2 linked regions of the Callithrix jacchus genome follow. The protein of the gene in region 2 interacts with the protein of the main gene of each other region in a pairwise test. Links are inferred from orthologs where the notes say so. Each region holds a gene or a part of one and is shown on either strand. Other genes may lie near its edges.

Region 1 (3,745 bases), on a different chromosome or scaffold from region 2:
AGGCCTCCCGTTCTTCGAAGTGACTCAGCGGCGCAGAGGCCCCCAAGAGCCCGAGGTTCCGGGATTAATTCGATTTCACACTTCCACCGAGAATCTCAGTCCCGAGCTAGCGTTTGTCTCCCGTTCCTTCAAGCCCGATGAGGGGCGGTGTCCCGGTTCTAGGAAACCACTCCCGGGGCTCTCTCCCTTCCCGAGATTTCTGCCTTTCCACCCCTGGTGCTGCTGAGCTAAAGTCTTGATCGACAAAAACACAGCAAGGGGGAAGAAAGATCTACGCCCACCTCCGCATTCGCACCGAAGGCTCCAAACTCCATGCCTCCTCTTTATTCCCAGAAACGACTCTGCGCTGATCCTCAGTGCCCAGACATGCACGAGGGGCTCTCTACGTACTTTCGTTGTTTCCCTCCCGTGTGCTTCTTTGCCCACCCCTGCCCTCCGACATCAGATAGTTTATTATGAGCTTCTGACTTCACGGTCCAACGCCATACGGCGGCCCCAGTCGAGTGGACCCACCCGCGCAGGCCGGGCTAGCGCTGAGTTCCCGGAACTCAGGTCCCCACCGCAGCCAGAGGCTGCCCCGCGGAGCTTCGGGCGCGGACTGTCCCACGGTCTTCCGCCAGCGCCAAGGTCCGGGAAGCATGGAGCGGGAACAACCTCTCTCAGGAAACTTTGCACGTCCTAACAATCTGTCTCTGCCTCTTTGGCTCCTTTTCCTTCCCACCCTCCCAAGTTGCTTTTCTTGTGACATTTTTTTCCCCTCAATTTTTGGTCTAGGAAGGTAGAGAATTGTGCAAAACTGAAATTATTTCAGTAATCCATGTTTTAAAACTAAAGAGAGGACAAAGAAAATAAAAGATCTCTCAGCCACAATACTGTCAGGGCAATGCCATCACCAAACATGGACATCTCGGTGAAACCACACCAGAAGGGCCCAACAAACAAAATTGACGGAATGGAAGTGTTTAGGAAAAGAGATCTAATTTAAAAAAAAATCTTGAGACAGAAGGTCCGCATGCAGTCTTCCCACCACCCCTGTCCCCACTGGCTGCACTGCCCTCCAATCGCACCCCTGTCCCTCAAACCTTTCCACTGGGACCTCTTTTTGCCCATATTTCTCTAAACTTGGGAGCAGCCATGAAAGGAAGGAGAGCCAATGTTTCAACCCCTCTCTCCAAACCCAGAGGAACCTCCACCAACCACCTGGCCACCTTCTCTTCCCTTCCTTCCGTTCCCGATGTGTGAGTAGGTTAGAGAAACTGAGAAGGGGGGTGGGGTGAAAGTTAAAAAAAAAAAATCAGGAAGGCGTGAGCTGGAGCGGTGAGTGTGTCAATCAGAGGGTTTTGTGCCTGGGGGCTCCTAGCGGTTCGGAGCAGAGGTGTCCCAGGGCGGCCCCACAATGAATATGAATAGGAATCCTTGCTAAATGGGACAGCAAAGCGCACCGCCCTGAATGATGGCACGTCATCCTAACTAGCCCAGGATAGATAGGAGGGCTCCTTTTGTCTCTTTTCTCCGCCACAGCTCTATAAAAGCCCCTCTTTTTCAGCGTGAGGTTAGTTCAAGCACACACCAACTAGCTGTCCAGGAAGCAGCCTAACCAGAGAGAGGGGCGAGGGAGGGAGAGAGGCGGGGAAAAGCAGCATCTCAGCTTTTCTTCTCACGTCTTGCCGCTGAGAAGTGGGTTCCTGGGCTGTGCAGATTTTTTTTAAATTCAAGATTTTCTTTAATTTCCCGCCTAAAGCCTCCCCACGGTAGGGCCGCATCCCCAGTAATAAAATGAATTCTGATTCGAGCTCTGTCTCCAGCAGAGCTTCATCTCCGGACATGGATGAGATGTACCTGAGGGACCACCACCACCGCCACCACCACCACCAGGAGAGCCGTCTCAACTCGGTCTCGTCCACGCAGGGCGATATGGTGCAGAAGATGCCCGGGGAAAGCCTCTCGCGGGCTGGCGCCAAGGCCGCGGGAGAGAGCAGCAAGTACAAAATCAAGAAGCAGCTGTCGGAGCAGGACCTACAGCAGTTGCGGCTGAAGATCAACGGACGCGAGCGCAAGCGGATGCACGACCTGAACCTCGCCATGGACGGACTGCGCGAAGTCATGCCCTACGCGCACGGGCCCTCGGTGCGCAAGCTCTCCAAGATCGCCACTCTCCTGCTCGCCAGAAACTACATCCTCATGCTCACCAGCTCCCTGGAGGAGATGAAGAGGCTGGTTGGCGAGATCTACGGGGGCCACCACTCGGCCTTTCACTGCGGGACCGTGAGCCACTCTGCCGGCCACCCCGCACACGCGGCCAACGCCGTGCACCCGGTGCACCCCATCTTGGGAGGCGCGCTCTCGTCCGGCAACGCCTCGTCACCGCTGTCCGCAGCCTCACTTCCCGCCATCGGCACCATCCGGCCTCCCCACTCGCTGCTCAAGGCGCCCTCCACGCCGCCCGCGCTGCAGCTGGGCAGCGGCTTCCAGCACTGGGCCGGGCTGCCCTGCCCCTGCACCATCTGCCAGATGCCGCCGCCGCCGCACCTGTCCGCTCTCTCCACCGCCAACATGGCCCGGCTGTCCGCCGAGTCCAAGGACTTGCTCAAGTGAGCAGCGGGCGAGCCCGGCTGCCTAGGAGGAGGGAGAGCGGCGGGAGGGGCCGCGGTGCCGGGCCGGGAGGGAAGAGGGAGGCTGTGCGCTCGGCCCACGGGAGGGCGGGCTCCGGGGCCCGCGGCATCCTACCCTGTCTGAGAGATCTCAGACTCCACTTGACCCCGGAGGGAAAAGGACCAAAACCAAACTGCAATTTCTAGGTGGTAGCAAAGGGGGACTCGAACCACACGTCGTGTGTTTTGCATGCATGCTTCTTTTCCCCATGCCGCGCCAGTATTTCTCACTGCCGTATGCTCTTGTCAAAACTGCATTTGTTGTATAAAGATGGGATCGGTGTAGTTAAAAACTTGCGAAGGAACTTTTGAGTTGGCTTTCTCTGACTCTGTGTTCTCGCTTTGGGAAAAGACGGCCATCCCTTTTGTGCAAAACAAATGTAAATATTTTCTTGAGATGGATGCGATTATGATTGTCTCTGTCCTCGCCATAGTTTTTCTAGAGACAATGGAGAGAGAGAGAGAGAGAGAGAGAGAGAGAGAGAGAGAGAGAGAGAGATATCAAGACCCAAGTTTTGAATCTCAACTCCGGTCCAGGGCATGACACCTCCTATGTGGGTTTTCCTTTCGACGCAGTGTAGGTCAAAAGAATGCATGCAGGCTTCTAAATGAATCTTGTCTAAACATGTTGTGCAGGCCGTGGTGCCGTTTTCCTTGTAACAAGGATTTATTAGTGAATTCTTCCAAGTACTCCATATATCTGTCTGTGGTTGTATGAAATGAAAAGGGGCAGAGTGCAAAGACCCACACTCACGCACACGCGCTTCTTCTCCCACCCACATCCCCTTCAAACTTTATTCCGAACCTTCCTCTGCTGTTCCGGAGGCGCCATTGTAAACGCTTGGCTCCCTCTAGTAGCTTGCCCCACCCCCTCGCTCAGTTATTCTGCATGCGGGGTTGGCTCTCTCTATTATCAGCTTTGAAAACTTATTCTGGTTTTGGGAGGGGTGCTGTTTTTATTTTCCTGAACATTTGCTTGAAATATTTTGTTAGGGCCTCAAAGACAATACCTGTCTTTATTTTTTATATATTCTTGATAACTATGATATATTTATTGATAACCAGTGTTTCTGGATGAGATTTCAAATAAAAAA
Region 2 (3,745 bases):
GCTACAGAGTTGCAGGGCACAGTACAAAAGAAAACTGAAAGGCCCCTTGTTCGAAAATGATTCGGAATTTCAAAACGCAGCAGTAAAGATTCACCCAGGCAGAAGCCCTGCTGGGGGCAGGGGGCCTGGGCAACAGCATGAAGCCCCAGGCCCAGGCCCTGCCTCCATCCCGGGCATCCTGGTGCCAGGCACAGTCCTGCCCCAGGGCCTTTGCACCTGCTCGTCCTGCCTCTGACTGGCACTGCCCCCATCCCCTGTTCTCGCTCCTTGGGGTCCGTTTGTGGAGGAGGAAGCCCTCTCTGACCCTCCCTGCCCTCTGTTCAACCTTGCACCTTCCTACCCCGCCATTGTCCCAGCCGATTTTCCCCGCAGAGGCGTCCCCACCATCTGACCTGCTGGGAATTCAGCTCCTGAATTTATCTCTGTCTGTCTCCAGGCACCTCACCAGGGCAGGGGCCTTGTACCCCCCCCACCCACCCCAGGGCCCTGGAGCAGCCGGGCCTGGCACACAGGCCCTCCATAAAGGTGTCCAAAGAATGGCTTCCCTGAGGAAGGCGGCATGACCGCTGCCTTTCTGCAGAAGAGGAAACTGAGGCCCGGCGAGAACCACCGCCCAGCCAGAGCCAAGGTCACAGAATACGTCCCTGGCACGCGTCCAGGTCGTGCCACCGCAGGGCCGGCGGCTTCGACCTGGGCAGCCGGGTCCCTTTCTCTGACAGATGGGGAAACCGAGGCCAGGCCGGCCGCCAGGCTGGGGCGGGTGGCGGGGGCCGCGGCCCGGGGCGGGGGCGCGCCGGGCCCAAGGTCACCGCGGCGGGCGGGCCCCGGGGAGGCGGGCCGGGGTGGGGATCCGCAGGCCTCCCCGGGCGCGCGCGTCCCCCCCCTCGGCGGCGCGCACGGGGCACGGGCGGCGGCGGCAGGTGGAGCCGGAGCCTCCGCAGCAGCCGAGCCGCGGCCACCGCCGGCGTCGCCGCCATTAGACAATAGCGGTGGGGCCGGGGAGCGGGGAGGCGGGCGGCGGGGAGGGGCGGGGAGGGGCGCCGGGCGCGCAGGAAGCGGGGCCCGGGGCGCGCCGGGGCCGGGCGCGCGGGGAGGGGGCGCAGGAAGCGGGCGAGGCCGGGCGCGGGAGGCGGCGGCGGCGGCCCCGGGAGCTGCCGATCCGCGCCGGGACAAAGGCGCGGCCGCCCGGCGCCCCGAGCAGCCCGAGCCGGGGCGCACAGCCGGGGCGCAGCCCGCGCCCCCCGCCGCGACTGACATGATGTTTCCACAAAGCAGGCATTCGGTAAGCGGGGCCCGCCCGCCCGGCGCCCCCTCCCCGCGCCCCCGCCCCGCGCCCCCCCAGCTCCCGGGCCCTGGCTTCCCTCTCGGGCTCCGAGCCCCGCGCGACCCCCGTCCTGCCGCCGACCCCCGGACACCCCCTCAGTTCCCGATTCTCCCCCAGCTTCCGGGCCCCGAACCCCCCCCCAGCTCCCGGCTTGGCGCCCCCCCCCCCGCCCGCCGGGACAGGCAGGGCCTCGGACGGCCTTGGCCTCGGGCCTGGGGATCTCCGGGAGCCCCGCCAGGCACCTCCAGCGCGGGGCTCCTTTGGGGGCCTGTGGTGGGGGGGACAATCCGAGGCGTCCCCCCTCCCGGAAGAGAGCGCGTCCCCGAGGAAGGGCGCTGGGATTCTGGGGTGGGCTCCCCCCCGGAAGATTTAGGGCGCCGAGAGAGACCCCCTTCCCCAAGGGGACTTTGCAGGGGGGACTCGCTGCCCCTCAACTTGGGGAGGGGGCTCCCTAGGGCGCGTTTCCACCCCCCTCGGAGGCACCCACTCCCGGCGCTTTGGAGGGGCGGTAGAGGGCGTACCCTGCCCCCCACCTAGGGCGGGCCTTAAAACGCACCCCCCACTGCCTGGGGGTGGCGGGGGACGGGGCGGCTCCGGGCGCACCCACCCCCTCAGCTTCCCCCGGGGAGAGGCGGGGGCAGGAAGCGCGGGTGGGGGCCTTGCCAGGGGCGGTAAACACGGGCCCAGGAAGTGGGGCAGGAGGGGGGGCGCCGCAGCTGCGCGGCCGCTCCCTCCTGGCCCGCCCTTGAGGGGGGCCTGGCCCACGCCTGGGCCTGACCGGGGCGCCCCCCTCCCCACAGGGCTCCTCGCACCTACCCCAGCAACTCAAATTCACCACCTCGGACTCCTGCGACCGCATCAAAGACGAGTTTCAGCTCCTGCAAGCTCAGTACCACAGGTGAGGGGCGGGTCGGGGTCCCTGCGCCCGAGAGGGTGAGCCCCCTTGTTCTGCACGGACGGCAGATTGGGAAAATAACGTGTGCTAGGCTCCGACCGAATCGCTTGACAAATACTGAATTCCTTTCTTTAAACAGCCCCAGTTTGTAGAGGAGGAAACCGAGGCACAAAAAAGTTAAATAATTTGCCCAAAGACCCACCTGTGTGACTTCAGAGTCCCTCCCTCCTCCCCAGTCTCCCCCAAGCCCCCCCCCACCCCCCGCTGGATAAAAGACCTTGCGCCAACCAGCTTAGAGCCTGGACTCACCATCCCCCCAACCCCAAAACACATTTTGTAACCTGGTTATGTCTGTCTTTGGCCAGTTTTGGAGAAAGGGTTCCCAGCGCCCATCACGTTCTCCAAGGTGCTTCTCCTTTCAGAAATCTGACCTTTCTGAAGAGTTTGCCATGTAGCTGGTCTAAGGCGAGGGAACTATTGAGTCCTCTTAAAGAAATGTAAGCCCAGGCCGGGCGGTGGCTCACCCTTATAATCCCAGCACTTTGGGAGGCCGAGGCGGGTGGATCACGAGGTCAAGAGATCGAGCCCATCCTGGTCAACAAGGTGAAACCCCGTCTCTACTAAAAATACAAAATTAGCTGGGCACAGTGGTGCGTGCCTGTAATCCCAGCTACTCGGGAGGCTGAGGCAGGAGAATTGATTGAACCCAGGAGGCGGAGGTTGCGGTGAGCCGAGATCGCGCCATTGCACTCCAGCCTGGGTAACAAGAGTGAGAATCCGTCTCAGAAAAAAAAAAAAAGAAAACAAAAGAAAGAAGCTTAAGCCCAGAGAGGTCAGGGATTTCCTCAGGGTTAGTATCCACAGCACTGAGGAAGGGGCAAGGCTGAGGTGGGCACCAGGTCTCTCTCCTGGTGTAAGGATGCAGATTCCCACGTGCCCTGCTCTGGAGGGGCGCAGCAGACCTGGGAGTCTGGAGGAAGTCAGGCCACGCTGAGGCCCACGTTTCAGCCTGGGGGCCCTCTCCTGACTGCAGTTTGCCCATCCTGGAGGGACCCTGGACTTCCTCCAAGTAGAAAGGGGAATCTCGATTTTGAAACTATCCAAACTTTCGGGGTACTCCCTGTGTGCTAAAGACCATATGTGCTTCCTCGTGAGGTCCGGCTGTCGTGCCCATTCTCAAGATGGGCACACTGAGACCCCGACAGTCAAAAGCACTGGAACCAGCTTTCCAGGAAGGCCCCAGAAACTTCTATTTGGGTCCCTGGAAGCATAGGGTTTGAGACTGCCTGGTGGGCCCTGGGGCTGACCTGATTCCACAGGGAAGAGATCAGATGGCCTTCGCAGTGCTGTGTGACCTCCAGTAAGCCAGACGCCCTCTCTGAGCTTTGGAGTCTCCATCTGCTGGGCCTGGGCTTTCTGCTATCCAGAAAGCCCTGCCATATCAGGCACACACTGGATGTTCAAGGCATAACAGCCCCTGGGTGGCCGGATCAAGTCTCACGCTGTCGCCCAGGCGGGAGTGCAGA

Evidence for each region.
Region 1: the proteins of TLE5 (region 2) and OLIG3 interact in binary tests that used the Homo sapiens proteins (3 or more experiments, as listed by UniProt). The two-hybrid records come from large-scale screens. The link is inferred for Callithrix jacchus from reciprocal best matches to the Homo sapiens genes TLE5 and OLIG3.

What each region holds. Positions count from the first base shown.
Region 1 is NC_133505.1:144,278,450-144,282,194, reverse strand, and holds the start of OLIG3 (oligodendrocyte transcription factor 3), read left to right. Parts: upstream 1-1,555; 5' UTR 1,556-1,776; coding exon 1,777-2,595; 3' UTR 2,596-3,745. UniProt on the Homo sapiens protein: May determine the distinct specification program of class A neurons in the dorsal part of the spinal cord and suppress specification of class B neurons.
Region 2 is NC_133523.1:2,836,794-2,840,538, reverse strand, and holds the start of TLE5 (TLE family member 5), read left to right. Parts: upstream 1-1,255; coding exon 1,256-1,282; exon of another isoform or gene 1,283-1,283; intron 1,284-2,124; coding exon 2,125-2,222; intron 2,223-3,745. Other genes in the region: uncharacterized protein LOC128930549, read right to left, coding at 442-1,257. UniProt on the Homo sapiens protein: Transcriptional corepressor. Acts as a dominant repressor towards other family members. Inhibits NF-kappa-B-regulated gene expression. May be required for the initiation and maintenance of the differentiated state.